Linked DNA regions of Pelodiscus sinensis. The protein of the gene in region 1 interacts with the protein of each later gene in a biochemical or structural test. Links are inferred from orthologs where the notes say so. Each region holds a gene or a part of one and is shown in the gene's direction. Other genes may lie near its edges.

The links. The genes of interacting proteins can lie anywhere in the genome.
Region 2: the proteins of NEDD4 (region 1) and TNIK form a complex in vitro, tested with the Homo sapiens proteins (2 studies listed by BioGRID). The link is inferred for Pelodiscus sinensis from reciprocal best matches to the Homo sapiens genes NEDD4 and TNIK.
Region 3: of the proteins of NEDD4 (region 1) and AKT1, one has a biochemical effect on the other in vitro, tested with the Homo sapiens proteins (3 studies listed by BioGRID, with this or other methods). The link is inferred for Pelodiscus sinensis from reciprocal best matches to the Homo sapiens genes NEDD4 and AKT1.

Annotation. Positions count from the first base shown.
Region 1 is NC_134724.1:27,999,881-28,010,575, reverse strand, and holds the start of NEDD4 (E3 ubiquitin-protein ligase NEDD4), read left to right. Parts: upstream 1-5,251; 5' UTR 5,252-7,146; coding exon 7,147-8,697; intron 8,698-10,695. UniProt on the Homo sapiens protein: E3 ubiquitin-protein ligase which accepts ubiquitin from an E2 ubiquitin-conjugating enzyme in the form of a thioester and then directly transfers the ubiquitin to targeted substrates. Specifically ubiquitinates 'Lys-63' in target proteins.
Region 2 is NC_134720.1:39,646,287-39,656,767, reverse strand, and holds the start of TNIK (TRAF2 and NCK-interacting protein kinase), read left to right. Parts: upstream 1-6,078; 5' UTR 6,079-6,498; coding exon 6,499-6,555; intron 6,556-10,481. UniProt on the Homo sapiens protein: Serine/threonine kinase that acts as an essential activator of the Wnt signaling pathway. Recruited to promoters of Wnt target genes and required to activate their expression. May act by phosphorylating TCF4/TCF7L2.
Region 3 is NC_134714.1:18,005,533-18,016,273, forward strand, and holds the start of AKT1 (RAC-alpha serine/threonine-protein kinase), read left to right. Parts: upstream 1-6,338; 5' UTR 6,339-6,482; intron 6,483-6,650; exon of another isoform or gene 6,651-6,984; intron 6,985-7,035; exon of another isoform or gene 7,036-7,167; intron 7,168-10,741. UniProt on the Homo sapiens protein: AKT1 is one of 3 closely related serine/threonine-protein kinases (AKT1, AKT2 and AKT3) called the AKT kinase, and which regulate many processes including metabolism, proliferation, cell survival, growth and angiogenesis.

The DNA of each region.
Region 1 (10,695 bases):
TGTCAATATTCTTTAAACACCGTAAAGAGAACTATCAAGACCCGATGCCTGTTTGAAGCCAGACAAGATTAAATTAGAAATTAGGCCCAATATTTAAACAGTGAAGAATAGTGACAATTGGAGCCAGCTTCCAGGGGCTGTGTTTGAGTCTCTATTCTTTGATGTCAGTAAATCAATACTAGATATCTTTCTGGAGGATAACTTGTGTTTCACTAAAGAATATTAGGCTTAATAAAAAAAATAACTGAGACATTTTTTGGCCTGTAATATACAGGTGTTCAGACTTCATGATCTAATGCTCCCTTCTGGTTTTGAATTCTGTGAATCTATACAGTGGTCAAGGTTTGTCAGGTTTAATACTAATTTTGTATCTTGATTCTAAATTAATTTGAACTTTTAATGAGTGTTTTATAAAGAATTGTCCTTTTCAGTACAAGATTTGCGTGATCTATATACTGCTTCCTGTTTAATCCTAGAATATTTGCTTTAGCAAAAATAACTGCTGCAGCTTTCCAAATATCTTGACTGACTAATAACTGTTAATCTGTTCCTCTTTCCTAGGTTGATCCTCAGCAGCACAGGCTCCTTTTTGAAGTATTTGATGAAAACCGTTTGGTAGGTCACTGCACATTAGAATATTTGTTCTTTAAAGACATGAATGAAATCAAGTTTAGATGGAAATGTTTAAAAAAGGCAGTTCCATAATTAATTTTTATAAACCTACCAGATTTAAGGCTAAATCTGACAGTTCTTTTTTCTTTTTCTTTTGAAGTCACTACTCTTTGTAATTCTTCTGTTAGAAATTTTGGAATCCAGTGTCTTGTATGTAGTATCTGCTTGTTCAAATGTTTTCATGGATTCTTTGATCTGACTGTCTTTATAGTTTGAGTTCGTGTACTGCTATGGAAACTTGATGGTAGCTTTCTTAAATGATCTGAGGCTTGTTTTACCTGCTACCAAATGCCCTTAGTAAAGATACAGGCTTCTCTGAGATGGATGTGGTTTTGACCACTGTTTTAATAACTTAATTTGGCAAGAAGGAAACATTAATTTTTAAACTTACTTTGCAGTTGTATCTTACCTAAAAGGTTCATTATCATGAACTGGTATGTTGATTAAACCAAATATAGCCTTTTAACTAAAGTTGGTGTACTACTGTTGGCTAGCCAGAGGATACACTAGATCCCTATAAATATCTATTTAAGAAATAAAATTTAACATACTCTTATTCAAATTTGTTAATATTTTTTTACAATACGCCTTCACTATGGATTTGTCATCCTATGATTGGATGAAAACTGGAATTCAGTTTAAAATGTATAGAGAACATTTTAAAATTGATCTTTTTATTGGATACAGAAAATAAAAATTATCAAAATACATCTTAAATTTAAAAATATATTAAAGTATTAACTGTAGTTAGTTGACTTTCTGGTCAATGTGGGTCAAACTTTCTACTTAGGACTCTAAAGGCGTATATTGGCACTTATTCTTCCTGGGTGTATTTAAAAATCTCACTAGGCACTTCTCTGCAGCTTGAGATGACTAAATATCTTTGAAACTCTGGCCCTATGTCCTTCAAATTCTTTAGAATTAGGAGAGCTTATCCTCTCCAACCTTATTTTAAGTCATAGATGGAAGAAAACAAACTTCCCTGCTTTTTCAACTCATTTTCTTAACTTTGAATGAACTAGTCCAAATAAAGAAAATATTTTCTCTTCACCAGCTATGTAAGCTGAATCTAAAAATAATTAGGGCAAAATCTTTTCTGTTAAACCAAAACTGACAGTTTGAATTGATATCAAAAGATAGGCTTTCCCCTATTTTGTATATTTTTTAAAAAAAGAAGCACCTTTTTCACTTAGCAACTTGAAAGCTCAATGATACAGCATATTTCTTAAATTACATTAGTAAATGTAACCCTTAAATTTGAGAATGTCTAAAATACATTTTATTTTTAGAACTCTGTTTTTGATGCTTGCTAATTTTAGCTAAATAGTTAATATATTATAAAAATATTGTTTTTTTTTTTTTTAATCTGCCTTCTTGGAGACTGGCCATCAAGAGCATCAGCTGTTTTAGCAGATTGGCAAATGAACCTCTAGAATGACTTTTGAAGTTTTGTGCATCAGCTTTCCCTCAAACTATAATAGAAGTACTCAAAAGGCACTGGGATTTGGTTGTTAACTAGAGGTGTAATTTCTAAAAGCACCTATATCTTATTTTCGATAGCAGTCTAAATTGCTTACACTGCCGCTTCCCGTTTTGTATGTGTGCAACTGATTGGTTTTCTTTTCTAAGAGGAGTACTTTTGCATTTATCCTTTTTGAATTTCATTCTATTTACTTCAGACCATTTCTTCAGTTTGTCAGATTACTTTGAATTCTAATCCTGTCCTCCAAAGCACTTGCAAACACTCCCAGCTTGGTATTGTATGCGAACTTTAAGTGTCATTTTCTAAACCGTTGCTGAACGTATTAAACAGAACCAGACCTCGAACTAATCCCTCAGGGACTCCACTCAGTATGCTTTTCCAGCTTGACTGAATCACTCTTTGAATATTAGGGTTGGAAGAGACCTCAGGAGGTCATTGTGTCCAGCCCCCTGCCCAAAGCGGGACCAACGTTAACTAAATCATCCCAGCCAAGGCTTTGTCAAGCCAGGACTTAAAAACCTCTAGCGATGGAGATTCTTCCATTTCCATAAGGAACCCATTCAAGTGCTTCACCACCCTCCTATTAAAATAGCTTTTCCTAATATCCAACCTAGATCTCTCCCACTGCAACTTAAGACCATTGTTCCTCATTTTGTCATCTGTCACTACTGAGAACAGCTTATCTCCATCGTCTTTGGAATCTCCCTTCAGGTACTTGAAGGCTGCTATCAAATGCCCTCTCACTCTTCTCTTCAGTAGACAAGCCCAAATCCCTAAGCCTTTCCTTGTGCTCCAGCTCCCTAATAATTTTTGTTGACCTCTACTGAACTTTCTCCAGGATGTCCATGTCTCTTCTGTAATGGGGGCAGGGAGTCGGGATGAGGGCAGAATTGGATGCAGTACTCCAGATGTAGCCTCACCAGTGCTGAATAAAGTGGAATAATCACTTCTCTAGATCTGCTGGCAATGTTCCTTCTAATGCACCCTAATATGCCATTAACCTTCTTGGCTTCAAGAGCACACTGTTGAATCATATCTAGCTTCTCGTCCACTGTAATCCCCAGGTCCTTTTCTGCTGAACTGCTGCTTAGCCAGTCAGTCCCTAACCTATAACAGTGCTTGGGATTCTTCTGTCCCAAGTGCAAGACTCTGCGCTTATCTTGTTGAACCTCATTGGCCTTTGGAAATGGTTTTCCAACCAGTTATGCATCCATCTTTATGATTGCTCCATCTAGGTTGTGTTTTTCTTGTTTTAAGGAGAACATGTGAGACTGTATCAAAAGCATTACTAAAGTCAAGGTAAACCACATCTACCGCTCCTCCCATCCCATAAGGCTTGTTACCCTGTTAGGTTTGACACAATTTGATCTTGACAAATCCATCTTAAAACTAAACCTCGTATTAATCTGTGGTATAGTTTTAATAACAATGTTGCCTTTCTGGATTGCAGTGCCTTCTCTCACACTTAATGTGTTCAGCAATAATCATTTTTATTATCTCAACTGCAGCTGGTTGTCAACAGGTGGGATCAAACTTTAGACCTCTGAAGCTTACTGAATAAACCCATGTTGCATGAGCTAAAGGCCAAATGACGATTAGCTCAGGCTGTAGTAAATGCCTCAATCTCGAGATGTTCTAGGTACCATTAGAAGGGATCAGAGTGCCACACCAAACAGGCCTGCATTACACTGCCAGCAAGCTTCATGGATTATTTTTCAGCATGTACTTTCATCTGCCTAAGATTAGAGAAAAGGCAAAATTCTCTATTAGCACTAGCCTCTGAGAATCTGTCAAAAGAATGGCAGTTCAGGGCTTTATAACCTCTTGTCTTGTGAAGTTCCTCATTGTGATTTTTAGAAAGCAAGCATGGCAGTAATGCTCATGAAGTAGAGCAATCTGGAGAGAGAGGTGGAAGTAAATAAGGCTTCTGTGTTGAACTCATTGCTAAATGACAAGATTGTCAGGTCCAGCTGTATTCACTAGCAGGATTCTTTTGTAGCTGATGGATTGACAGTGACTAGCCAAGAAACCTATAGGTGGCCAGACACTGCTGGTTTTGCTATCCATAACTGGGTAACTGTTAAACTATGTGAGACATAAGTTTTGCTATTGCACTTCTTCACAATCTGGATACTGACTGGTAACAATGGTTACTACTTCCTAGTAGAACAGTTTAATGTGGGAGAAAGTGTTCCCAGTACATAGTATTCACACCTATGCAGCGAGGAAAGTACCAGTGAACTGTAGTCATTACTATTGCAAAAATCTTGGATTGTGAGATTTAAAACAGGATTGTTGATGTGAGGAAAGAGCTGGCAACATACATCAGTAAGCCAATGATCAACCAGACCATAATGGATCTGAAGTAATTTCATTATCAAAGTAACCAGGGAAGATCATGCTTCAAGAAACGTATTATCTAGTGTGAAGGGACACACTTAAATCTAAAAATACTACTACATGACTAAACCTCTGACTGCTTTACTTAGCATAGCTCTTAGTAAAGGAGGAGACATCATGCTTAAAAGTCTAATTCTCTTGTGGTGAATGTTGCTAAGACTTTTATCAGAGTGTTACTTTCTATAGCAGACTTGGATAACTTCAGGCCCATCGATGGTGGGAGGGTGCTAAAAAAGGCAGCTGTCCCAGGGCCTGGCAATTCAAAAGGGCCCAGGGCTCCTGGCCACTACTGCTATTACTGCAGCAGTGATAGTGGCCAGAACCCTAGGCCCTTTAAATAGAGGTCACAGCCCTGAGGAGCACACTCCTGAGGGCTGGTTGCGGGGGAGGGAAGTACCCAGCACAGTCTATGGGTGAGGCTGAGGGCTGGCTATTCTCAGTCCTGCCCCTTCTGGGAATGCAGTCACCTTGCCCAGGAGCCTAGCATTTCTTTTACCCTCTCTTTCTCCCACCCCTCAAGTAAATTGATAAGTTTAATTTTGTTAACCTGTAGACTAAATTAACCGAGTCATACTTAAGTCTCTTTGTTTCTAGTTTTTTTTTTTTTTAAGGCTTCTTCTTTATCAACTTGAAACTCAAAAAAAAAAAAATTGTATTACTTAATGGTTATACATAACTTTCTGAACCTGTGACCAAAACAGCTCTTTGAAAACCCACACTGTAACTTTGATTAGTGATGCTTGGTGGAATAGCTGAACTGTTTGTTATAAAAAAGACAGTAAATAAGCTATTATATGTTGATTAATTTCTAGCCATTAAAATGTGGGTAATGAGGTTAAATGAACCTTGGAGTATTAACAAAAAAACCTTGTTTGCGTGCAAACTAAGTAGTGTTAACTTTAGTCCTGGCCCTTATTTGGAGAGGGGATAAAGCTGTTCTTTTTACTGCATACTAACCAAAAATATAGAAAAGGTCATGTAAATATTGAGCAGAAAATATCCAACAGTTTGACCTATGATGAAGGGATAAATGGTCTAGTGTTCTCTCCTCCTGTTTGAGCTTTACCAGACCAGTAATTCATTCCTTCTTAATATGTTAGCATTTAGTATTGCATGAAGTATCATTTCTGTTCACTGCTATTGACACTTCACAGCAAGACTACATTTTTTCCAAAAGTCCCACTAGGTGCCAGCAAAGGGCCTTTTCTGTCAATATGGCAAATGCCTGGAGAAATTGTCATTTTTAGTCTTTCATTTTTGGGGAAAATTACCAGTATATTTTTAGTTTGATTAGTCTAATTGTGTTTCCATAGTGGCTCTCAAAGCACTTTATTAAAATTGCACCTCCTTTCTATTCTTGTTACTGTAGTTAACTGTGAATGTATAAGATTACTGTACAGTGTGCATACAGTACCTTATGGAATGTAGCTTGGAGTAGTCTTCATCTGTGAATTGTATGCTATATAAGCAGTTGTTTAAATATGCAGCATATACTGTACAGCTGTAGAAAGACCTCATATGAACTGTGTGTGTGAGATAAATACATATAAAATCTCTGTAGGTACGGACCTGAAGATTTCACACCAAAAGCATTGTTGAACATTTCATACTCTGCCTCTCTAATTCGTAGATAACCAGACGTTAGTCCAGAACATGGACTGCTGACCAACAATTTAAGCACTTGAGTTTGAAATGTAAAAAGTTGTAAAAGTGTGAAAAGTCTAACTCAGCACACTTTTAACCTGAAAGACTAAAATATACTCACTAGAAAAGAACCTCTGGGCTTCACTGAAACCTTGAGCGACAAGCTTTTAATCAGGAGGAAATTTTATGGTTTTATTTAACCCAGTTATATCTTTGTTAAAAACTGAAGTAATGTGGCACTGTAGGATTCCATGAACTGTGAACCATATTAAGTGTAATTCCAGTAGTTTTCTTAGGACTCTCAAAATAACTCTAATTTTAACCTTTTGTTAGTATGAAATGGCTTAGTTCATTGGTTTTTGCATAACCAGATGTAGTTTACTTGCATGGGTTACTATTTGGCAATTCAATCCTAGATTTGATACTCTGTTATAAGGGACTTCATTGCTACCAACTTCCTGTAATTCTAAACCTGTGGGTAAAAATATTAGTAGTCATACGCTGCCGCAGAGAGCATAGACATGTTGGTTAAGCTAGTGTAAGTGCTGCAAAATTTTCTGTTTTTAAACTCCTGAGAGCTGGAATATTCTTGGGTTATATTCATTTATGTACATTACAGAAGGTAACATTGAAACAAGTTTGGCAGCGTGTCAGTATACAGCAGCTGAGTTAATCTTGATGGTCGTTGGAAATCAAGTGCTTTTTAAGTGATTGCATTCTGTCTACAAACAGACAGCCCAGAAACCACAGTTCAAGGAATGGCTGACTTGTTTTAGGAGGTGCTAGTTACTGTCTTGCCGAAATAGGGACAAAGGCTGCATCTTTCATGGGATCTCACTTTTGCAATGTGTTTGAACTGGATCACAGTTCTGTGCAGCTGCCTCTAGCCTTTCTGCAAAAGGAGCTTTATGGTTCTTACTTGCTAACATGTGTGCAAATGAGAACAAATGGCACGACGGTTAAGATTGCATTTTGCAGCCCGAAGAAGCAACACTGATCCGTTATCAGAAACCTCTGGCGATGGTTTGGATAGTAACATTCATGTGTATTTCCAAAGACCTTCACAGAATTCTGCACCTGATATTATAGAAATGAAGCTGACTCCCAGGCAAGCTGGCTTTCCAACTACAATGCAGGAAATAATTAATCAACAGCAGCATTCAACTGTTTCTTCACTGCAAAAGAACAACAAAAAGAGCACCTCACTGCAGATTTCCCTGCAGTCTAGAAGGTATAGTGAATGTTTTCAATCTGATGCAGTAGTTGCTAGTGAAGACCCTTTCATCAGTGTTGGTAATGAAGGAAACACTTGTAGCAGGAATATGGCTGATTACAGATCTAATATGTTAAATAGTAGCAGCCATTTAAGCAATGCTACCATGTGCAATACTAATCTAGGTGATATTGCAGCCAATAACACTGGATACCTCAGTAGCACTGGGAGTGACTATGAATCGTGTGCAAGTATCACTAGTGATGGAGACTCATTCAGCAACAGTATCATCAGTGACAGTAGTAGTTGCACTCTTTCCACAGGTGGTGATACTTTCTGTAGTAATATTGTATATAGTACTTCTTCATATAGAAGCACGGCATACAAATGTAATTCCTATAGGAACAATATATCTCAGGAAACTTCATGTAGAAGTAAAAATAATACTGCTTTTGATCAAGATGGTTTGGAGCAAATGAAATTGCCAATGAGGAGGAAAACTAAAATTCCACTACGGCGTTTTTCATCATTGGTAATCTTTCCTAGGAATCCTTCGACAACCCCACCAACTTCTCCAACATGTTTGGGTCCCCTGCCAAGCAGAGGACCTTATCAAACATCACATCGATTAGTTATTTCTCCTACTGAACTGGCACAGAATGAAGATCAAGCAACTTCTACAGGGTTCACTTCAACATCAGTCAGTGGACTTCGACTGTCTAAAACGGTTGGCTCTCCTGGTGACACTAGAGACATTAGACCCCTTTACTTGAATAATTCATTACAAGACAAAAATCAGGCCACAAGTAGAGTTGAACAAAAGCCATCTGATAGTTTCTCTTGTATTTCAGTTCATTTCACTCAGCAAAGAGAATCTGCATCAAGGGATGAAACGGTTAATGGTTGTTGCAGTCCAGAGTTATCAGAAAAGGAGTTAAATTTGTACTCTGATGCAAAGTGCTCTCATTTAAAACTGATACGTAGCACATCTGCATGTTTGCCCTCTAAAAAACATTCTGAGTATCAGATTCTTATTAGCGAATTAGAAAGACCAAATACACAAATGAGGACAACCCACCTGCAAAGAAGTGTTTCATTAGAAGGATCTTGTCAGAAAGTTTCTTGCTGTTTATCCAGTCTTAAATACAAGTATCCTAAGGCAGAGACATCGCAGTTGCACATACAGTTCACACCGGGAAATGACAGAAAAACTAGTGGCTTTCAAAAAAATTCCAGTACCTGCAAAAGGGAATCATCAAGTAGCACTTTGTGGAAGCCCTGTAAGGTGAGGGTTTTTGTATTATTTTCAAAGAAAAACTGCCAGTGGATCTGAAAATAGCATGATAGCTTGTAATAATTTGGTCTCTTCTAGTGTATAATATCCTTTGTAGCTGAAAATTCCCAGTAAAGCACCTGAACTTCAGATATTAATTCAGAATCATAACTGATTATTTAAACCATTTATCTGCATGTAAATTACTTTATTATGTAGTAATCTACATGTTTAAGTTCTTGACTTAAAATCAAATTTGAGTTAAAACTTTAACTGTATTGTTAATCCAAAACAGAACTAATTGTTGCTGAAATAACTATTTAAAGATGCCTAAGAATGAATACGTTACTATAATCTTTTATTTATTTTATGTAAGTTTAAAAATTTTTGCAGAAACTTGCTGTGTTGAGAATTAATTAAAAGTAACATTTGAGCAGAGCAACTGTAAAATACTATTTGTATCTGTATACACCCTGAGCCACAGGAATTTTAAGTGTTTCCTCCCCTTTTTTCTCCAACCACTAGTTCAGCCTGAACTTTATTCTGTAACTTAATATCTTTTCCAACAACATTGCAGTCTGAATTAGTTCTTGAGTTTAGTAGTTTTAACTTTTGAGTAATAAAACTCCTCTCAAGCTAAACTTCAGAAATTTGTTCTCTTGTATTCAACGTGAAACTTATATTTGTTAATAATGATAGAACCATAAGAAAAGTAGGTTTACAAATGTATTTAAATGATCTTGAAAGTCATTCAGAAGCTCTTGCAAAATGTCAGACTTGCATAATGCTGTTACTTATGAACAAAAATTGGCAATAGTATAAATAGGCATTTTTGTATACTGGAATTGTAAGTACACACTAGCCTTAGTGAATTGACATTTCCACTATTGTACCACTTTCCAGATACAAATGAAAGGGGAGCTGCTAGTGATCTACAGTTAATACTAATCTTAGAGTTGTTGTAATATTACCTTGAAATCTTATCCTGCAGATTTTAGTTTTCAGTGAAAATATTACCTGATTTCGACCCAAGTCTGCATTCCTTTGCAGTGTATCTTCTTTCTTAAAATCCCTGTCAGTAACTTTAACTGAAAAAAATCCTCTTAAAATATGGGTCTGAATTATAAACTTTGACAGAAAAATCATCACAATAGATCATAAGTTACCAGTGTGTATTAGGGATGTTAAATATTGGTTAATTGAATAGTTGAGTAATGTCATGAATTCTTATCAGTCAATTACTCTATAGTTCCTGGGGCGGTGCTGGCAGCCAGTGTACTCTGGCCTCACTCCTGAGGAGCTCCCCGCCACTCCGCATTGGCATTTAAAAACTAGCTCCCCTCACGGACTAGCTGCCTGTTGCCCAGTGCTGCTGCCTCTGATAAAGAGGCAGCAGTGCACAATGGTAGCAGCCCCTGTCTAGACAGGGTTCAGATCCATCACAAGACAGGACAGAACCAGGCTGCTGGCCAGCCTGATAAAAAACTTACTGGCAAAGCAGTGCAGGGAAATATGTGTAGTCTATAGTATTAACCGATAAGCTCTTGCTAATTGGTTAATCAGCTACACTATTACATCCCTAGTGTGTATTCTTGTTGTTGGGGGAAAAAAGGCTGTATGAGATTGTACTAGAATATTTTAAATCAGCAAGGGAACTCTTACTTAAATTGCAGTAAAACTTAAACAACAAATAGTCTTGCAGCACCTTAGAGACTCACAAAAATGTAAATTGTATAATGAGCTTTTATGGGCATAACCCACTTCTTCAGATGAATGGAATTTAAGGGGTCCAGTTTTCAAATAAATACAAAGAGGGCGGGGGAGGGGAAAAGAAGGGGGGGGGGGAAAGGGGGAAAGAAATTGTCAATTAGTATCCATGGTAAATGAAGCTAATAGAGCTTAGTACCCATTCTGAGTACCCTTTTGTTTAGTTTTTTTATGTCATTAGGATGTGGAATGTAGCAGGCCATCCAGCCAAAGTCTTTTTGATACCTACAACAGAAGTCTAAA
Region 2 (10,481 bases), on another chromosome or scaffold:
ATTGTAGGGGATTATAGTTTACTAAGTGGTGAAATCACACTACGTTCCCTGCAGTCAGTGCACAATTAAGATTTTCCATAAGGGATTTTTTGTTTATGATTCTAATCAATGGGGTCCAAAGCCCTGTAATAGACTTAGTGCACACCTCTCCTTCTCCCACACCCACCCCTTCAGCCTCAGATTTGGTCTTTGATTGTTTATTTTTCAGGGGAAGAGCCACAACAGAGAAGAGGTTAATTAAATAAGCCCAACCCTATAAAGTATCATGGAAATATGTTACACAAATAAATAATTCATAAGGCCTCAGATACTATACACAGACTAACAGGGAAAATCAAAGACACAAATGTCGGCATGCACACACTAACCAAGGCAAGGAAAACTTTGTACATTTTATTTTATTTCTATGTTATTTAAAAATTGCACCTTCTTAACTAAACCTTAGTGTTCCATTCAGCCCTAGCCAGGGTAAAATAATATGAGGTCACTTCAAGGGGCATTAACATCGCTCCTAGCACTGAAAAATGTCATTTAACTCACACAGACAAGATATAGGGCTTAATCTACATAAGCTACGTGTGTTGTGTAACAAAAAGCAGTCAGGCTTATTTTGATACACATGTAGGATGTGGTTCTATCTGGAGCTGTAGCCCTCCTACCCCTCGTGAGGATGAAAACTTACCTGCAGTGGCAGGTTAACATAAAGAGATATTGTTCCCTAACTAAATGCAAAACATATAGGGGAAGAACATACACTTGGAGATCGTGTTTACACAACATGGTGAATTGCACCATCCTGTATCTCCATCTGCAGTGCCCTTAGATATTTAAATACATACACAGCAGTATTATTTTGGAATAACGTTATTCTGAAATAACATAGTCCGCGTCTATACTACAAGCAGTTATTTTGACATAAGATTGAGCTAGAGGACTTCTTTCTCTGACTCCTGTAACACTCATTTCATGAGGCGTAAGGGAGGTCAGAGGAAGAATGCTCTTTCTCGGACTTCCTGCTGTGTAGACAGCGCTAAAAGCCAAAATATGCTATTTTGACTTAACCTATGCAATTGACGTAGCTGAAGTTGTGTAGCTTATTTTGGCTTTAGCCGTACTGTGTAGATGTGCCCATAGTGGTGTTCTTTGTAGGTGAAATCTATGGTATTGTTTCAAAGAGCCCACACTGATTTCTCCATTGCAGTGTTTACAGAGCTTTGTTTTTAAACAATAGAACAATTAACTATTTAAGAAGCTTTTCTTGTCATAAATTCACTCTGGGCCAAATCTGGTAGGCCTGGCACACAAAAAATTAGCCCTGCTGAACTCCCAAGAATGCAAATGTGACAGACTCCCAGCTTCAGAAGCAGGAGTAGTCCCAGCAATGTAGGCTACTAAAATGAAAATACAGAGGGTGACAGGCTGGCCCCCACTAGAGTCAATGGGAATTTTGCCTTTGATTTCCATGTGGCCAGGATTTCATTCATAGCCCATATGCTATGTGCTACCCCATGATGCTCTCCATTGCAAATCTGAATGGAGATCTTGCACAGTGTGAAGTCTACAGGGCTTTGAGGAACCTGGAGCAGGATGCCACAATCATACCCCACGGTTCCCGTTCCTAAGGCCTAACTGTGACTTCTAATGTCTACTCCTCTTCCAAGCAATATCAGCTGACGTACACAACTCCTGAGGAAGCAAGGTCCATTTCCTCAAGAGAGAGGCTAAGACAACAAGAGTGAAGTTCCCTTGCGATGTCCCATGGCACTTCTTAATGTGTGTAGTGGCTTGCATCATGTTGCATGATGCCATGCCCTGTTTTGGAGTGACTCAAGGATGCAGGTAAGGCTTGCACAGAGAGTGTGCTGCAATCACTCATTATTGGTGTGGTTGCCATCTGTTCTCTTAAACAATAGCGATGGCCATAAATAATAAACCACAGGCAACGTGTCACTGCTGTGATTGTGAAGTACCCAGAGTGTTCCTCATTGCTTTGCATCTCTCCTGTGGCAACTCCCATCAGCACGAAAAGCGTCAATCGCCTGATGTACCAATTACAATGCATTTGGGAAGATCAATAGATGCAGGATGGACACAAGTAGCCATTAATTTCTGAGTATCTTGTAACACAGCTGTGGCAGGAATCACATTAGCTTGAAATCCAATTATTATCCATTTAATAGAGTATTAATATTTAAACACTCTTTATTGTGTTTAGGCAATGCCCTTTTACTAGTGCATTTCATGTAAAAATGTTGGCCTAGCTCCTCAGATGGTGTAAATCAACCTAGTACTGTACCATGGAAGTCAATGTGGCAATGCCAATTTACACCAACTGAAGATGTGATCTAATAGTCATGGAATTTTTGGAAACCAGTGACTCAGCTGAATCTTCCTTCTAGTAATCAAATATATCAGTGGATGGGTCATTGTCAATCTATTATATCAGTCCCTCTTTTTCTTTGCAAAGGCTGTGCAATCCTTTTGGAACTGATACAAAGCCTATTGAATTCAACTGGAATCTTATTAAAGAAATGTACCTCTTTAACACGCTATTTTATATCTTAAATAATTATTTAACTTAAATCATTATTTTTATATTTCAAATCATTTTTGTAACTTAAATCATCTGTCCTATAGTTGGACAAAACTTTTAATTTTTTTTTTACAGAACGAAATATTCAGAACTTTTTCAATCTAGAAATGACAAAACATTTTGTTTCCCAATTTTCTAGTGAAACAAATTATTTTGCTAGTTCTTGAAACAGAAATGTTTAATTTTGGTTATTGAATTAATCCTAAATACTGCATTTCAAATCAGCTCATTATATTAAACTGAAATTCTGTATTGTAGTGCATTGCTTTATGGGAACTGTAGTTCAGGACCCTGAACCCCCATTCTCCACTAAGGACCATGCTTCTTGTCTGTACTACAACAACTATATATCTACAGTTATGACATTTACATATACCAGGTATCTTGGTGAGATGGAACTCCACCTTGTATCACTGGAGATGTAATCCACTAGTGAGCCCAGCCAAAAAGATAGAATGGAGGCCCAAACTAACAGCTCCTATGAGACAATGCCACACAGTAGAAAAATTCTGTTTAATACTGAATTGATTAAAAATGATGAGTTTCTGGTCAGTTCAACAAAATGAAATATTCTGATTCAAGTGAAGCTAATACCAAATTAAATATTTAATTTCAATTTTTCTGATGGAGTATCACAAATTGCCAACAAAACTGAAATTTTTCCATGGAAAATTGTGATCTTGCAGAAATTGCATTTTCCATTAAAAAATAAATTGGTTCAGATGGCCGCTTCCTAGCTATCATAAGTTTCTGCAATCTGGATTCCATGTCCACTGCCACCAAGCCTTTGTACATAGCACAGTTATAATAATTTTGAAGTCGTAAAGTGACCACAGATTTGGATATTATAAACACACACAAATAGTAAAGTAATTCTTTGTGCAGAACATCCTATCAGCAGATGTTCATTATGACCAGAGCCACAATTTGCACACTGAAGTGCATTGAAGAAATTGGAATTTTCACTATACTATAAACTATCATAATTTCGCTTATTTATTCGGTTGTTGATATAAATTGGCTCTCTATATTTACATCTTCAAAGACAAATTACTGTATAGGCCTCAATTCTGAAAGTCACTCTGCCAACATCACAACATCATATTGTGGCAGGTGTCCATGCTAACATGCCTGCTTGAAGGTTTAATCTCTATACATGTAAAAAAATAAATGTCATGAACTGTTTCATAAATTACACCTTATTTTCTCTAAATGGAAAGAATATTAAACATACATTTTTCTCTTTTCCTTTCTCTCATCTAGAACAATGAAAACAGTAGCACTCTTTTCATTTTTGTTTGTTATTGGCTTCTAGCCAATTTCGCTTTCAGGTTCTCATGTGTTAGTGCAACATTGCAATGTATAGGTTACAACCAATAAAAACAACACTAGGTTTAAAAGACAATTCCATTGTTGAAAAAGAATGAGAGAATCATGGCAATAATTTGATTGTTCCATGATATTGTAAAAGCCTTTCTCCCCTTACTTTAAGATTTGAGTTAAATTAGATCCTTTTAATGTCAGCAGAGATTAATCTTTTTGCAACATGTGATTTATTTATTCTTGTATTGGAAACCTTGATCGTTTGCATCACTGCACCACTAAACAGGCTTGTGAACATTATACTTCTGTATATTTCAGTTACCTGAGACATTTGGCAGTTCAATTATACAAATTATATTTTGCTTTGCACTCGAAATTTTCTAGGAAAAAATGCTCTAACGACCAGCACTGGTTGATGACGCTGTTGCTCCATTTCTCTGCATGTATCAGGAACTCTGTGATCAGTGTTATTAATGATAAGAAGACTGATTCAGTTCTAGAGCTCTGAACTTCCTTCCCTGCAGGGTATTCACTCTGTAGACAGCACAGTGACCGTGAACAGAGGGGACAAAGTGGGGTGGGGCTGCCCCTGGATCTGCAACTGGGTTATGATAGCCTATTGCTGATAGGGAAATTTCACTCAGTAGGCTTTGTTTTGCTAGGCTAACCTACTGACTAGCTCTGCTTCCCAAATTACTCCTGGTAATATGTGTGTGCTGCGTCTCAGACTACAAAGCCCTTGACACACTAGCTGCAGGCAACAAGCCTTTCTGTCAATTGCATGATTGTTTGCACTAAAATGTAGTGCAAAGAGCATCTTAATCCATAAAGCACAATTAATAGCCAACTGCTGTCCTGCACACACATTATTGTGTGGTTGTGTTGCCACTTCACGGACCTGCATTTTGTAATATTCCCGCACAAACCTGTGAAGTTTGACAGTCTCCCCAGTGCATCTTCTATAATATTCTTCCTTGAGGCAACAAATACAAGGAATGTACCAGGTTTGGGGGGTGGTAGAGAATAACAAATAAGGAAACAAATAAAAGCTGGATCTTCCTAGATTCTGCTAGTTTCTACTGATTTTTGTCCCCAAACCCAAAATTATACACTACATCTAGTCTAGCTGCTCTTATCGAATAAAACAAAAAATCTAGTCACAGGCACATCTCAGAGCTAGAGCACTGCTATCCTCCCCCATCTTGTATCTTGCATTGGCTCAAATCCATTTTTAGGCCTCAACTCCATGTTGAATGGCATAGACAGAGAGTAAGTGTAGTCACTCTCTCTATACCTAACAATTTCAGACTCTAAGTCATCATGAAAACATGGAGTGCTACAAAAATCTGGATTCAAGCCTCTGTGTCTTGGCAATTTTTGGCTCCAGCCCCCAAATTGTACAAACTTAATATGCAGAAAGTGGCTTCACCTGCACCAGAAGGTGTGAATGCTGAATTCTTATGATAAAGGAGTGGTATCATGTTAGTCTGTTAATGGTATAATTAGAGGGTTTGGGGCCAAAAATGGAAGAAACCAGCGGATAAATATTTGTGATGCTTTTTGGAAGAAATGGCTCTGAATTTTTACTATGGAATGTGGGGAGCTATTGTTCTCGATATGGCTTGTGGTGGGATTCTTGGATTTAGGATTTAAACAGAACTATCTGAATCTAGCAGGACCAAGTGCCCTATGCACATTTTTGCAGATCTGTTTCATCAGTTTGCAACAAAGCTGGGATGTGGGGGGGGGACCACATTTTTATTTCTCTACTTACACAATAAAACTTGGGGATATAGCATGTAAAATTGGCTGAATGCAACAGTACTCAGATACTATGCATTTCTCCCCCCCCCCAGTGTTATTGGGCTGGGTTATATCAGGGTCCAGATTTTGCTCTTAAAGCAGGAACAGCTACACTGTTTTTCAATTTAGATGCATGTGTGTGTTTGTGGGAGTGTGTGTGTGTTTTTTTTCTTTTGAAGTGACAGCCTTTATTTTGATGGTCCAATTTCAGGGTTATAAGTCCAGAAATCGGCAGGGTCCAGCTCCAGGCAGTTTTTACCTTTCCTTTCCCAGCAGGATAGTGCAAACACACATGGCATGGAAATGCTGCCTCTCTCCTGAGGAAAGGCAACACCCACTTCGTGACACTCACTCCTCCCAGGAAGCCGTGATAGACACTTTGTGGCTCTCTCTCCATCCGACTGGAGGAGTTGATGTGTCTCATTATAACAGCAGCCAATGCAGCCGCCATCCAGAGAAAAGCAAAAAGCATGTCCTATTTAAATACACCCACTCCCCAGCATCGCCCTTAAGCTTTGCACTGGCCTCGCCCTCCCTACCTAAAGGATTGCAAGCAGAGGAAGACTTGCCCAGGCACTGTTTGCTGGGGGATTTTTTGTTTTGCAGTGGGGCTTTATTTTTTGGTTGTGTCGTGTTTTTCCTCGGTGTGCAGTGGGGGTGTCTCCCATCCCCACCCCCGCATGAGGAGAGGAGTGAAATAGACCCAGGTGGGGATCCAGCCAGAAGAGCGCAGCGGTTACTTTCTATCTTTGGTCAATTTCTCCGGCAAAGAAGTAAACATGGCGAGTGATTCTCCGGCTCGGAGCCTGGATGAGATAGATCTTTCAGCCCTGAGGGTGAGCAAAACAACCCTACCCCCAATTCCCTTTCCCTGCGCCCGCCCGGCTCTGACCCCGCGCGCTTTATGGCTTTGCGTGGAGATAAGTTTGCCATTGTATGCAAGCGGGTTGCAGGGGGGGGGGGGGAGTTTCTTCGGCTTTGCCAGTGTGATTCGGCTGCAGCTATGGGTGCGCGTGCGTGTGTGTGAGAGCAGCAGTGTGTGTATGTGTGTGAGAGAGCAACACTGTGTGAGACAGAGCAGCAGTGTGTGTGTGTGTGTGTGTGTGTGAGATGCTTTCTGAAGATCCAAGGAGGGGAACCAAAATCTGCCTCGCTACAACCTGTCACTCCCCCGCTTCCCTTCCCCCGCGCTGGAGAACCAGCCCGCTGTGAGCTGCTTGTCTGTAGCGCCCACGACATAGTCTGTTGCCCCCCAGCGCTGTGTGTGCTCGGCACGTAGCTGCCGAGGGGGGTGGGATGCAGATCCCGAGCCGGCTTTTGGTGTCCGTGGGGCAATGTGGGGCCAAGTCCGGGCTTGTTGCACAGCAGATGTGTCATATCCCCCGTTGCTGGGCGGCCAGCATCTGTGCACGCGAGAGTGTGTGTGTGTGTGTGTGTGTGTGTGTGTCTCCCTCTGACATGCTTTCTGCTCGCTCTCCGCTGTGTGGGCTGGCTGTCTCTGCGGGTGGGTTCCACCTGGAAGTGTGACATTTCAGGCAGGTGCCGGAGACACTGGCTTTAATCCCCCCTTCCCCCCACACAGACGCTGGCTTTAATTTACACACACACAGACGAGATGCTGGGCTTTAATTTACACGCGCGCGCCGAGGATGTGGCTTCGCTTCCCTTTGCCCTCCGCTGTGCTGATTCTTACAGCAGCCGTTACCCTACTGATCCGCATGCTCTTGCCTGGGGCCTGCCTCCGCCGCTGCCTCTCCCTTGGATGGAGCAAGGGGGTGATAGAGTCCATCTTGCAGATAGTGTTGTGAAATTCGAACATAATGAGCCCTTAATGATTTCCCTCCTCGCCTCCCTGGCCCTCAGGGGATGGGATGCACCTCGCCTTGACATTCTCATCAGGCACCGGCTTGTCTTAGGGAGCTTGATTAAATACATGCTTATTAGTGCTTGTACACACCGTGTGTGTATTTATATTTGCACCGCTCACCAATGGAACTGAATCGATGTGGGGGGTGGGATTTGGGGCCTGGAGGGTCACACCTTGTGGCACAGTGCATTGTTAAACACAGAGGCTAAACCCTGTGCTTTTTTTGTGTCTTCATCTGTTTGCATTAGCTATCCTGCCCCCACCTTTTTAAAGCGAAAGCTCTTATTTGAATTTCAAATGTACCATTAGATGTCTAGTTTACCAAATATGGCAGCCATCACTTTCTTTGTGATCTGACTTGTCCCCTCTCCTGTAACTCTTTTATTCCATCCTTTTGGCCCTGAGAATATATTACTGATTTCATCTATTGGTTAGTGAAAGGAGTAGTACCTAACATGGACATGGGTGCTGAAATTCCTGTCTGAAAGCTCATGCCTGTTTTATTACAGCAAGAGTGCTGGCACTGACTTTAAAAAAAAATGTGAAAGAAAAATAAAATTAAAGGTGGCATCCGCTAAAGAACTTTTCAGAGTGTAGTTGTAGAAATATTATTTGCTTCAGTGGAAATAAGATTCCTGTCTAATTCATTCACCCCACATTCCTACTGGTGAGTTTCTGGCTGAATAATGGTGTAAATGATTGCTCAGCAGTTCAAGGCATAGACAAGATTGGAAAATTAGGACCATATATTTTAAAAATAAATATTTACGTCCAATTCACCTCACTCCTGCTGAGGACTATCAGGAGAAATGTTATTGACCTTAATGCCAGTGTAAAGCAAATGCAATTTGAGAGATGAATGAACCTGGCATAACTGTGTTTTGTTAAGGAAGCTCAGCAGTTTAGTGTTCTTATAACACTTAAGAATTTCCTTAGTATTAAGGTCCTGACTGTTTAAAATTATGTTGTCATATTTTTGTTTGTGTGAGTGTGTGGGCGGGGGGTTCAATGGCAGAACTTGGGCAGGATATATTTTGCCCAAAACAATTGATACTCTTAGCCTCTCAGCAGTATTTTGTTTGCATTTTAAAAACATAATTCCACAAATGGAGATATGAAATCCTCTGCTGAAACTGCATTTATCACGACTCCTGATATGCACACTTTCCATGGCATTGTGCTTCTGTCCTCTAAAACCCAGCCTCCATTAATTTAGTCGGCTACAGGATCTGTTGGCTTGAGTTAATGGTCGATCTGCCTCAACAGTATCAAAATGTTGAGTTCTCTTTATGCTGCCACTTTGAACCCCTGAAGGATGACTGATGTCAGTGTTGACTGGTGGGGAAGGAGGGTGTAGGAAAAACAAAGGCTACCCTGTGAATTTTCACATACCAGAGTGAAGATAATCTGTCCAGATAGCCCAGATTTAAGAAACGTGTTAGAAAAAAGATTTGTATCTAGCGCATCAGATAAATTATTCAAGAACAGTTAATCTATATGAACATTTGACCCTGCATGAAGTTCCAAGGTCAGCAAGACATAGGGTGAGCTGCTGCTCCAGTTTAGAAAGTAGCCCTTAGCAATAGAGATCAATTTTTTCTCAATACCTGAGAATGTTACATGTCATTAACTCATCTGGACCTGACCTTCATTTTATTTTCTAATGCTTTTTCCCCCACTGTACACACTACACATTTCCTGGGCATAGCAGACATTTCCTGGATGTGTTCAAAATATAAAGAGGAAGAATACCAAACAATGAATAATTTAAACAGGAGAGGCCTATTATAGCTCTTTGATTTAAATTATTCAAGTCAAACAAAAATTGGGTCCCTAATTTGTGAAAGAATGGATCTTCTAAACTAAACTCATTTAGCACTTAGAATAACTGAAGGTTATTCAGCTGATACGTTGAGGAGTTTGAATCATTCCACAGTGTCTGAATCAGAAATCAATAGTAAATTTGCTGCCAGAGCACAAAACATATCAGCGAGGAGTAATTTCATAAGGCTCACACAATTTAATTCCTTACAAAATAAGGAAAGGGAGGGGCTGTGTTGCTGCAGCTTTGTAAATGTGTGTGTCCCGGTAGAGGAAACATGGTCCATTTCTCTGCATGTGTGAAATCATGAGAAATAGCTATTTAAAATGTTATAAGCCAGAAGCAGACAGCTATTCCAAGCAAGGCTGATAGCACAGTTCATGCCTAAAAACAAAATAGGAGATACTAACAGAACTGCATATGAAATTTATCATCATGTTTTATTCAACTGAAAATTTGTTTTTGTAAATGTATCAATCAGATAATACAATGCATAGTAATCATGCTATTAATAAGCAGTAAAGTAAACTTACACTATGCTGCTGCTTAAAGAGATTGTCATCTTTCTTCTGGTTTCTTTTTCTCTCTTATAGGGGAATATTCTACACTTTCATTGAATTAATATATGGTGTGTAGTTAAATATGGAATATGGTGTGAATAAAACCCAGGGTCCTACAAAGCCTTTTTCACACAAGCAGGTATTAGTGGCTTATGTAGTCTCACTGACTATTTGCCTGAGCAGCAAACTGCAGAATTGGATGCTAAGCTTACATTATAGATGCTAAGCTTACATTATAAATGCAATTTTTTTAAAAAATAAAGTTTTTCCACATTGCTATGGCCAACAAAACAGTGGCCCAGCACAGTTGTGTGTGCATGTGAAACAAATGTCTGAAGCAATCAAAAATTATGCACTGAGGTGTGATCTGCTTAAAATATATAGATTGGTGAATCTAGTAAGCATATCTAGGGCCCAGTTCTGCCTTTTTTGCTGTCTGTCTCCACCAATCATTTTATACTGAGCTCATCATCATGGTACATGTGTGCCTTAGCGCCCAGAGGGAAAGTTGAG
Region 3 (10,741 bases), on another chromosome or scaffold:
AGAAAATATCTTATGGCCTCTATATAAAACCATGGGACGCCCACATCTTGAATACTGCGTGCAGATGTGGTTGCCTCATCTCAAAAAAGATATATTGGCATTGGAAAAGGGCAACAAAAATGATTAGGGGTTTGGAACGGGTCCCATATGAAGAGAGATTAAAAACACTTGGACTTTTCATCTTAGAAAATAGGAGAGTAAGGGGGGATATGATAGGGGTCTATAAAATCATGACTGGTGGGGAAAAAGTGAATAAGGAAAAGTTATGTGCTTATTCCCACAATATAAAACTAGGGGTTACCAAATGAAATTAATAGGCAGCAGGTTTAAAACAAACAAAAGGAAGTTTTTCTTCACTCAGTGCACCTCTGGAATTCCTTGATGGTGGATGTGGTGAAGGCTAGGACTTTAACAGGGTTCAAAAAAAAGCTAGACAGATTCATGGAGGTTAGGTCCACCCATGGCTATTAGCTAGGATGGGTAGGAATGGTGTCCCTAGCCCAGGAGTGGGCAAAAAGGCCTGCCCATTGAGTGGGTGGATCTGGCCCGCGGAGACCCTGCTGTTCCCCTTCCCCCAGGCCAATTAGGGTCTGGGTGCGGGAGAGCACGCAAAGCCTTCTCAACTTTCCCCTACACCCTGCGAGCAGTGTGCGGTGCTTTGAAGTGCCGTGCACTGCTTACAGGGCGGAGGGGAGAGCGGAGAAGGCTTTGAGCAGTCTCCTGACCCAGGCCTTAATTGGCCTGTGGGCGGGGGAGCGCACGAAGCCTCCTTCCACTCTGCCAGGAGCACGTGGGGAGAGCGGAGGAGGCTTCGCACGCTTGCCCACCCACAGGCCAATCAGCGCCTGGGGGGCAGGGAAGCTGCATGAAACTTCCTCCGCCCTGCCCTGGCCCTCTGAGGAGCCGGCAGCACTTCGAAGTGCCACATGCTCCTCGCAGGGCGGGAGGAGGCTTCCCGCGCTCCTCCACCCCCAGACCCTGATTGGCCTGTGGGCGGAGGAGCATGCCAAGCCTCTTCCAGGGTGCTTAGTAGGAAGGTGGGGGCAAATGGGCTCCCCTACCCCCAGACCAATAATGGTCTGGGGATGAGTAGCCCCGCACCTCCCTGGGTGGCCCAGGGCTACTTCAAAAATGTTTGAAGTGGTCCCTGGGCAAAAATGATTGTCCACCCCTGCCCTAGCCTCTGTTAATCTGGAAATGGGTGATGGGAGGGATGACATGAGGATTACCTGTTGTGTTCCCTCCCTTTGGGACAGCTGGTACTGGCCATGGCCTGCACAGAATACTGCGTTAGATGGACCATTGGTCTGATTGGTGTGGCTGTTCCTATGTTCTTAATCATTTGACTGGCATTTTGAATAGATTTGCTACCTGTGTTTCTTCAGAGTCAAATCTGCTGACTTTATTGGTGCTAATATATTTTTATCCCTTTCTAGCAGTCCAGTAAACTGAACTGAGGGAATGTGTAATAAATTGTTTTCTGGCTTCCACATCATCAATATACTTGCTAACTAAGTTGCAGTTACAGAAATTTCAATTATAACTGGTGATTTTATGATTCTGAAAGAATTGAAGTTGACTCTCACAACCCAATTTGAGTTTTCAATACTTATAGCTGGGGAAAAAAACATCTTTTAACTAGTAAACATAGTAAATTTGATATGGAGAAACAAAAAATATGTCAGTCGCATTTTTACAAACTCCTTTTTCAGAACAGAGCTGCACTCAAATTCTTTTAATATAGTTAGCAGTGGTTCAAAACACTGCAATAGAATAATTTTAAAGTCGAATGTTATGGACTATTATTTTTGCAGAACCAATATTATCTAGTGTCTTGAACAGAGCATTGAGAGCATGGATTCCTGGACTGCATTCCTTTGACCGTTCTATTGCCGCTGATTCTCTATGCAAGCTGAGGCAAGCCATTTAACCTTTTTTTTCTTAATTTATCTATTCTGAAAAGGGATTGTAAAGTACCTTATTGAGGAACTGTGATGCCTATCTAACTAATCAATATTTATAACACACATTGGGAATCTTGCACTAAAAGTGTTGTATTATAGTAGTATATTTGGATAATTGATGGCATTATCAAGATATTTAAAATGTTGATAGAACTAAAGATCTGTTCAATGCAATTAAAAATAATTAGAAATCACTTCACTTTAACAATTAACTTCATTACCTTAGGAACCTATTGGAACTGTAATAATGAGAAGAAAATGTTTAAACCCCTTTCTTGCAAGTAGATTGGGCCTTAGATTGTAAACTCCTTTTTAGATTAGTTTGTAAACTTTTGGGGCATCCTTGTGTTTTAACGGCACCAACAGAATGGGACATTACTAATGAGTTGGCCATGTGTGCACTTCTATAACATTAAATAATAACAAGTCTCTTGTTATGGGACTGCCAAAGAATTCATATGGTATAATCAGATGTCTCCACCAAAACTAATTTATGGGAAGCCGCATAATCTAATGGTTTGGGCAGGAGACTGTGCATAACAAGACTTAGCTGTATTTTCAGTCCAACTACTGTTTTACTATGTGATCATGAGAAAATTACTTACATACATGCTTGCAGTATCAGGATGTAACTTTAGGCATGTGAGTTGATCCACTGCCTTCAGGTCTGTCACCCAAAAAAAGGATCTCTCTGATGTGAAGAGACCACATCAAGAACAATAGAAGACTTTTAGAATAAATTGATACATTGAACAACGATAATCAGCAGTACCAGACAGCATTCACCCAGCATTCTGGTGGAACTCAGATATGAAATTGCAGAACTACTAAGTGTGGTATGTAACCCAGGGCTGGATTAAGGGGGAGGGGGTCTAGCCGGGCAGCTGCCGGGGGTGCCAACCTATGGGAGGCGCCTGATGGCAGCTGTAAGGGGCGCACACGCCCATCCGCGCGGCACCCCTTAGAGCTGCCATTAGGCACTGCACGCCCGGGGCCTGTGCGGCACCCCTTAGAGCTGCAATCAGGTGCCGCACGCCCAATTGCAGCTGGAAGGAGTGCAGCGCACCAGGGGTGGAGCCGCGCATGCGTTGCGTGCCTGCTGCCCAGGACGCAGGAATGGCTCGAGCTGGCCCTGATGTAATCTATCACTGAAAAGCTACAGAGGGGTAGCCAAGTTAGTCTGTAACTGGAATATATTTAAATGCTGGAAATAAACTGCCTATGGAGGTTGTGGAATCTCCATCTCTGGAGATAGTTAAGAGCAGGTTAGATTGACATCTATCGGGGATGGTCTAGAAGGTGCTTGGTCCTGCCGTGAGAGCAGGGGACTGGACTTGATTACCTCTTGATGTCCCTTCCAGTTTTAATATTCTATGGAAAAACTTAATGAATAGTCTAGCAGCACCTTAAAGACTAACAATACGGCTACGTCTAGATTGGCATGATTTTCCGCAAATGCTTTTAACGGAAAAGTTTTTCGTTAAAAGCATTTGCGGAAAAGAGCGTCTAGATTGGCACGGATGCTTTTCCACAAAAACAGCTTTTGCGGAAAAGCGTTTGTGCCAATCTAGACGCACTTTTCCACAAAAAAGCCCCGATCGCCTTTTTCACGATCGGGGCTTTTTTGCGCAAAACAAATCTGAGCTGTCTACACTGGCCCTTTTGCACACAAAAAAGGACTTTTGCCCGAATGGGACCAGCACAGTATTTCCGCAAGAAGCACTGATTTCAGACAATAGGAAATCAGTGTTCCTGCAGAAATTTAAGCGGCCAGTGTAGACAGCTGGCAAGTTTTTCCGCAAAAGCAGCTGCTTTTGTGGAAGAACTTGCCAGTCTAGACACAGCCCACATGTAGATATATCATGAGCTTTCATGGGTACAACAATGAAGAAGTGGGTTTACCCATGAAAGCTCATGAAACCATCAACATGTGTTGTTAGCAAATACTCTAGCAGCACCTTAAAGACTATCACTGAAAAAAAGCCTCTGTTACAAATCACTGGAAGGTAGCTAATGTAACACTGATTTTTAAAAAGGTCTTCAAAGATGATCCTGGCATCTACAGACTAGTGAGGCTACCTTCAGTACTGGGCAAATTGATGGATACCATAGTAAAAAAACAGAATAATCAAACACATAGATGAATAAAATTTGTTGATGAGTCAATGTGGCTTTTGTAAAAGTAAGCCATACCTCACTGATTTAATACAATTCTATGAGGGAGTCAACAAACATGAGGATATGGATAAGCCAGTCAACATAGGGTACTTGGATTTTAAGAAAGCATTCAACAAGGTATCTCACTAAAGAAACTAAGTGGGGTAATAGGAAATGCCCTCTCATGGCATCTTTCAGGATCCAAAGTTCCTACATATGCCTCTCTTGACATGTGGTATACCTCATGCAATGTATGTACTAAATGACCTAAAAACTATGGGGGCGAAACAAGACAATTAGTACACTCTTGAATGAACTCACTCAGAAAAATGATAAAAGAGAAAAATACCATATCACCTGAGAGTGAATATTTTTCACAAAGTGATTGGCTCACCCTTATGCATATCTATATCTGATCTTTTAGTCCTCATATTCAAAGGAAACCTGCACAGCACTTTCAAAAGACGAGCCAGTGATCTTAAATTCATAATTTTACTAGGCACTAAGAATAAAGGTCTTAATAAAGCCACCTGATGTATAGCTTATAATAATTTGTAACCCTCTAACCCCCTCTTTTTATCCCATGACTACAGAGATATTAATTTGTTCATTTACCTTGAATAGTTCCTTATAACATGTGTTAACTACTTATGCTAAAGTCTGTTCCACCATGCATTTCTTGCACTTCTCTCTAGTCTTTCTGCAGCTCTAGTGCCCACCATTTTTGGAAACAGGATATTGGGCTAGATGGATGATTGGTTTGAGGCAGCATCACAGCTTTTAGTATTTGTAGAATTAGGGTTTTAATCTCCACTTCTGCCTTTGCTTTGAGCCACACCGTAGTATTCACTTTTGTAAAATGCTTTGAGATCCTCAGATAACTGCAAAACACACTTTTCACCATGAATCAAGAGAGAATTTGAATCTGCCTGTTCAACAAGCTCTCCTGATTCATTTCATTCTATCTGCTTAGCAATGTTCTCTTTTAGCTAAAAGATTAATTCAAAAGGAATAAGAAAAGCTTTCTTTCCAAGACACACTTCAGTGGAGTAAATAGTTCTTGCAAATATAAGGCTCCAGAGATAAGCAATTTGATCTGCATACCACAACCATGCATGCATGGAGTCTCCTTGATTCCTCATGTGTGTGTGTATTTATGAAATATGAAAAAGTCAAGTCTAAAAGGAAGACAAGCAATAATGTTCACGAATAACTTCTCTTTGGTGAAGTTTATGTAGGAGAAGAATGAGCATATTTCAATCCATCCTACAACATTTGAGGATTACTGTTGCTACTCTGCATGTTGAATAGAGAGGTAGCCGTGTTAGTCTGATCTTGCTAAAACAAAAGGAAAAACTATGTAGCCCTTTAAAGACTAACAAGATGGTTTAATAGCTTTTGTGGGCCAGACCTACTCTGGCCCTGGAAAGCTCATCACCTATTAAACTATCTTGTTAGTCTTTAAAGTGCTACATAATTTTTCCTTTTGTTGTTGCTACTCTGTTTCCTTTAGGACATTTGTAATGTATTTATGTATTTATTTTCCCTAACTGCAATACCTCTTGTCTCATATCTTAATTTCCCTCTCTGATCTATAACTCACAATTGCCCACATCTTTGGTTGCTTTTGGCTATACATGGGTGTCTTCACTGAGGTGTCAATTCCAAGAATAAAAAATTATGAGTCATGCCCTCTCCAGTCAGGAGATTGGCTTAAAATTCACTCAATTAAAAAAAACCCAACAACACTCTCAGTTGTGTAAGTTTTTTTAGTTGGCTGCTGTGTTCTCAGCTTTTAGAATTTACTTGATTTGCATTTGCAGACCCATCTTGAGAATCACGAGGGCTTAAAAAAAACCTTTTAAAAAAAATGAGAACTGACATTCTCACATTACCAAATTAATTCAAGCCCCAGGGCTTTATTGAAAACACCAACTACTGGGAGAGTTGGCCGCACAGCTTTTGTTTTGTTGTTGTTATCATCCTATTGTGGTAACACACCTTCCTGCGCTAGGGCCCCACCACGCTAGGCACCGTCCAAAGCTAACAAAAAAGTCCTTACAAACGCACAATCCGGTCAGTTTCCCTCTTGTGTGTGTTTGCCTTACAGTTTGAGCGGGGTGGGTGGGTGTGTGTGGGGGGGGAGGTGGGGAGCTACGATTCGAGCTAATAAAGCTGGACTCCGGTCCCACCAGCGTGGTTGTGTGTGAGTCGAGCTCTCCTTTTAGTAAACAGCAGTGTGAGCGGCAAGCCGCCCTGATTGCCGTGATAAGCCTGTGTGCGGTTAGGAAGTTAGCCGGAGTTCCCCACGTCTCCTGCAGCATGCCGAACAAACACCTGCATGGGCGCCCCGCGCCGACTGTGAGTGTGTGGGGAGGGGGCCCTGGACTAGCGCCAAGGGGGCTGCAGCAGGAACTCTCTGCCCCCCCCCCCGCCCAGCCGGGCTCTGCAGGCGGCTGGATTCCGCGGGCGGTAGGACCCCGCAGGCATCGCCGAGCAGACACAGCCCGTGTGTGTGTGTGTGTCTGTGCGAGCAGCAGGCAGAGGAGGGACCAGGCGAGCGCAGGCTGGCGGAGCCGGGAGCCGCGGCAGCAGCCCAGCCTGAAGGGGGGTGGCTGGGGCAGCAGCCAGCAGCTCGGGGCCCGGCCGCCCCCTCGTGCGCCCCGGCCGGAGGCTGCCCAGCGCCGGAGCGGCCAGAGCCAGGCGGGGGTCCGGCCGGCCGGCGCGCTCCATGGGCTGATCCCCCGCGCCGAGGGGCGGAGGAGCGGCCGGCGAGGGAGACCAGGCGGCTGCCCGCGCCCAGCTAGGCCCTAGCGCCGGCCCCGCGGGGGAACCCGCCCAGCAGCGCCGCCGCTCCGGGCGTGTAAGTGCCCCGCGCGCCAGGGCGGCGGGAGGAAGCGCCGGGGCCTGCTTCGCCGGAGCGGGCGGGGGGCGCTCGCCGGGGAAGAGGGAGGCAGGATGGTGCGTGCGGCTCCCTCGCGGGGCCGGGCCTCGGCGGAGGGAGGTTTCATGCGCCGCAGTGGCGGCGGCTGCGGCACCCCGCCGGGTGAGCCTGCAAGGAGGCTGGGGGCTGGCGCCCTGGGGCTTACTCCCCGTTCTGTGCGTGTGCATCGGGGCATGGGGCGAGGAGGGGAAGGGTAGGGCTGCGCGAACAGGAAGCGGCTGCCTGCTCTGGGAATCCAGTCAAGGAAAGTGTTTGTGACTGGAGCTTGGGGGGGTCTCCCCGCAGAGGGAGGAGTGCTGAGCTGGATCTTGCACTCTCCCGCCTTGCTTCCCACCCTACCTTCGCCCCACAAATGCATGGGGAGGAGCGAGGCTGGCTCTGTCTTCGAGCCTTCTTGGTTGGATTCCTTGGCTATCAGGAGCCTTTTGGTTTGCACAAGCTTTTATGTGGCACTGTTTTTCAGTCAGTTGATTGCTTATAACAGGTTTCTGAGACTCTCCAAAAGTTATGACACAATTTAGGGAAGTACTGTGACCAGTCCCCGTCCCCCCCGCAACTTCAGTGGTCACTGAATTGTATCTTGGAGACTTCTAGCACCTTCACCTCACTTCAACTTCATTGAAAAAAAAAACCACTCTCTGCGTATGTGGGTGTTTCCTTAATTTGACCTGTGTATTTTGGACTTTGTTTATCATAACCAATATGGAGATGCATTAGACATTTTGGTGTGGTGGTGTTTGTACTCATGTGGTTGCATGTTTTTTTGCTTAGGTGAAGTGTTAGCTTTATTTCCCCTTACCAATATATAAGAAGCAAATATCTGATTTGGTTTGTCTTTACATCGGGACAGGAAGTACACTTTAAGTTGCAGTTTTTAAGGGGAGTGGCCGGATTAACTTTGTTATATTTGTTTACAAGTAAAAAAAAAGTGTGGTGTGGCTACTAGAGTACTTTAGGTAGCTGTTAATTTCATAGGGGCAGCCAGGATATTTACCTATAGCACAGAAGTATTTGTGTGTTTAAATACATTGTCATTACCTTTTACTTTTTCAGTAGGTGGGCTATCAAGAATTTGTGAATGATATTTGCAAAATATGAAAGCGTGCAGTCTAATTAAAGAAGAATCCCAATTTATTAAGCAGTATCTATAACTCTAGTTTTCACTTGCAAGCTAATAATATTTGCTAGAAGAAAATTCATTGAGAATTAAATGGATCTATGACTTACTTCATCCTTACGAGGGGTGGACCCAAAACTTTTGTTTACATATGTGTTCCCTCTCATTCCATTTACAGTCTCCTGACTCTATATGCTCATATAATTTGAAACATATACAAGAGTTTTATAAACTATAAATTGAGTTTTCTCATTTGAGGAACATAATGAAAATGTAAGGGTCTGGAAAAGCTGTCCTCTATTTCCAGTCATTCTCACTTTTGCCCTGCTTTGAGTTTGTCCACCCAACAATCCGAATCCGAGATAGAACTAAACTTGTATATCAGTGGTCTCCAACCTTTTTGCACCCAAGATCATTTTTAAATGACAGAACAAACCAAGATCTACTACCCCATCCTTCCCCCAAGACCCCACCCCTTCCTTGAAGCCCCAACACGCCCTCTCTATTCTCCTCCTCTCCATCACTTGCTATCCCCAATCCTTATACTGCTGCTTTTTCCCCCCAATTCTTCTGTAGGAAGAGGTTTTTCCAACATTTGGCCTGTCTAGACTGGACCAAATGTCAGAAAAACCCCTTCTTTTGGAAGCCCCTTTATTCCTTGTGGAAAGAGGAATATAGGGGTTACCCAAAGAGCACATTTGCTCTTCCACTAAAAAAAGTGAAAGAACAAATGCATCCCTGGATGTAGAAGAGTTTTTCTGGGATAACTCTGGAATCCTGAAAAACTCTTGGGCTACATCTACACTGGCATGAATTTCCGAAAATGCTTTTAACGGAAAAGTTTTCCATTAAAAGCATTTTCGGAAAAGCGCGTCTAGATTGGCAGGATGCTTTTCCGCAAAAGCACTTTTTGCGGAAAAGCGTCCGTGGCCAATCTACACGTGGTTTTCCGCAATAAAGCCCCGATTGCCTTTTTCACGATGGGGGCTTTTTTGCGGAAAACAGTACTATGCTGTCTACACTGGCCCTTTTGTGCAAAAGTCTTTCAGAAAAAGACTTTTGCCCAAACGGGAGCAGCATAGTTTTTCCGGAAAAGCACTGATGATTTTACATCAGATCGTCCGTGCTTTTCTGGAAATTCAAGCGGCCAGTGTAGACAGCTGGCAAGTTTTTCCAGAAAAGCAGATGATTTTCCGGAAAAACTTGCCAGTCTAGACACAGCCTTGCAGTCTAGCTGTACCCTCATTGGGTTGAGACAGGATGTGTAGGCTCTGGGGTGGGAATGAGGGATTTGGGTGTGGGAAGGGGTGAAAGGTGCAAGCTCTGGGAGGAAATTTGGACGCAGGAGGAGGTGGAGAAGAGGATGCTGGCTCGGGGAGGGGGCTCCAGGCTGGGCAGTGTTGGGGTCAGATGGAGGGTTGGGGTACTAAGCAAGCCAGAGGCGTGTGGATATGAGGGTGCACAAATTTGGGTTGGGATATGTGAGAGGCTCAGGGCAGGGGCTTCCAGTGCATGAAGGGTCGTGGGGGAGGGGACAGTGCAGGAGTGTTACGATGCTGTGGCCTGGAGGCTTGGGATATGTGAGAGGCTCAGGGCAGGGGCTTCCAGTGTATCTAGGGTCGGGGGGGGAGGGGACAGTGCAGGAGTGTTATGATGCTGTGGCCTGGGGGCTTGGCCCCAATTGGGGGTTTGCTGGCCAGGTTTCATTTTTAAATAAACTACTATGTCAAATACAAAAAGTTTCAGTATTGTCTTTATTTATGAGAAGGGCAGGGAACCTGTTTTGAGTCAGGGGTCACTGACCCACAGGAAAGTCAGTTGGGGCCACACAAGTGAGATGCAAAAAAACACCCCTCCTCAACCCCCCCCTCCCGCAAGCCTCACTAATATGGCCCCAACTGTGCTGGTGGGAGCAGGGGACTTGGCACTGGGGAAGGGTGCTAGTGGGTGCTGGGGCAGGGGACAGGGTGCCAGTGGGGACAGAGTTTTGCAGCTGGGGGCAGGGGAGAGGGAACAGGGTGCCGGGAGGGCAGGGGATAGGGTTCTGTGGTAGGGGACAGGGTGCCAGTGGGGACAGAGAGTCTCCTGTACCCGCCGCCTCCCAGGACTCCCCCCTGCAGAGGAGGGAAGCCCTGTCGCATGCCTCTTCCGGGGCCAGTGCGCGCCTCCCACAGAGCAGGGAAGCCCCCGTCGTGTGCCCCCTCCGGGCCTGACTCCCCCCTCCCATAGAGCAGGGAAGCCCATGCACGTGCCCCATCTGGGGCTGACTTCCCCACCCCCCCACTTCCCGTGGAGGAAGAAGTCCTGTTGCATGCCTCCTCTGGGGCTGGCATGAGCCTCCCGTGGTGCAGGGAAGCCCCTGCCTCCCCCCCCCCCCCCGGCCCGACTCTCCTCTTCTGCAGCGAACGGAAGTCCCAGCACGTGAGCCTTTGGGGACTCCACACGCCACAGACCTGGGGCAGGGAAGCAGCCAGTGCATTTCCGGAACCCCCGGAAGTGCTGCAGGACTTCCATCTACCCCGCGGGAAGCTGCCACTACCTCCATTGTCGCTGGAGGTA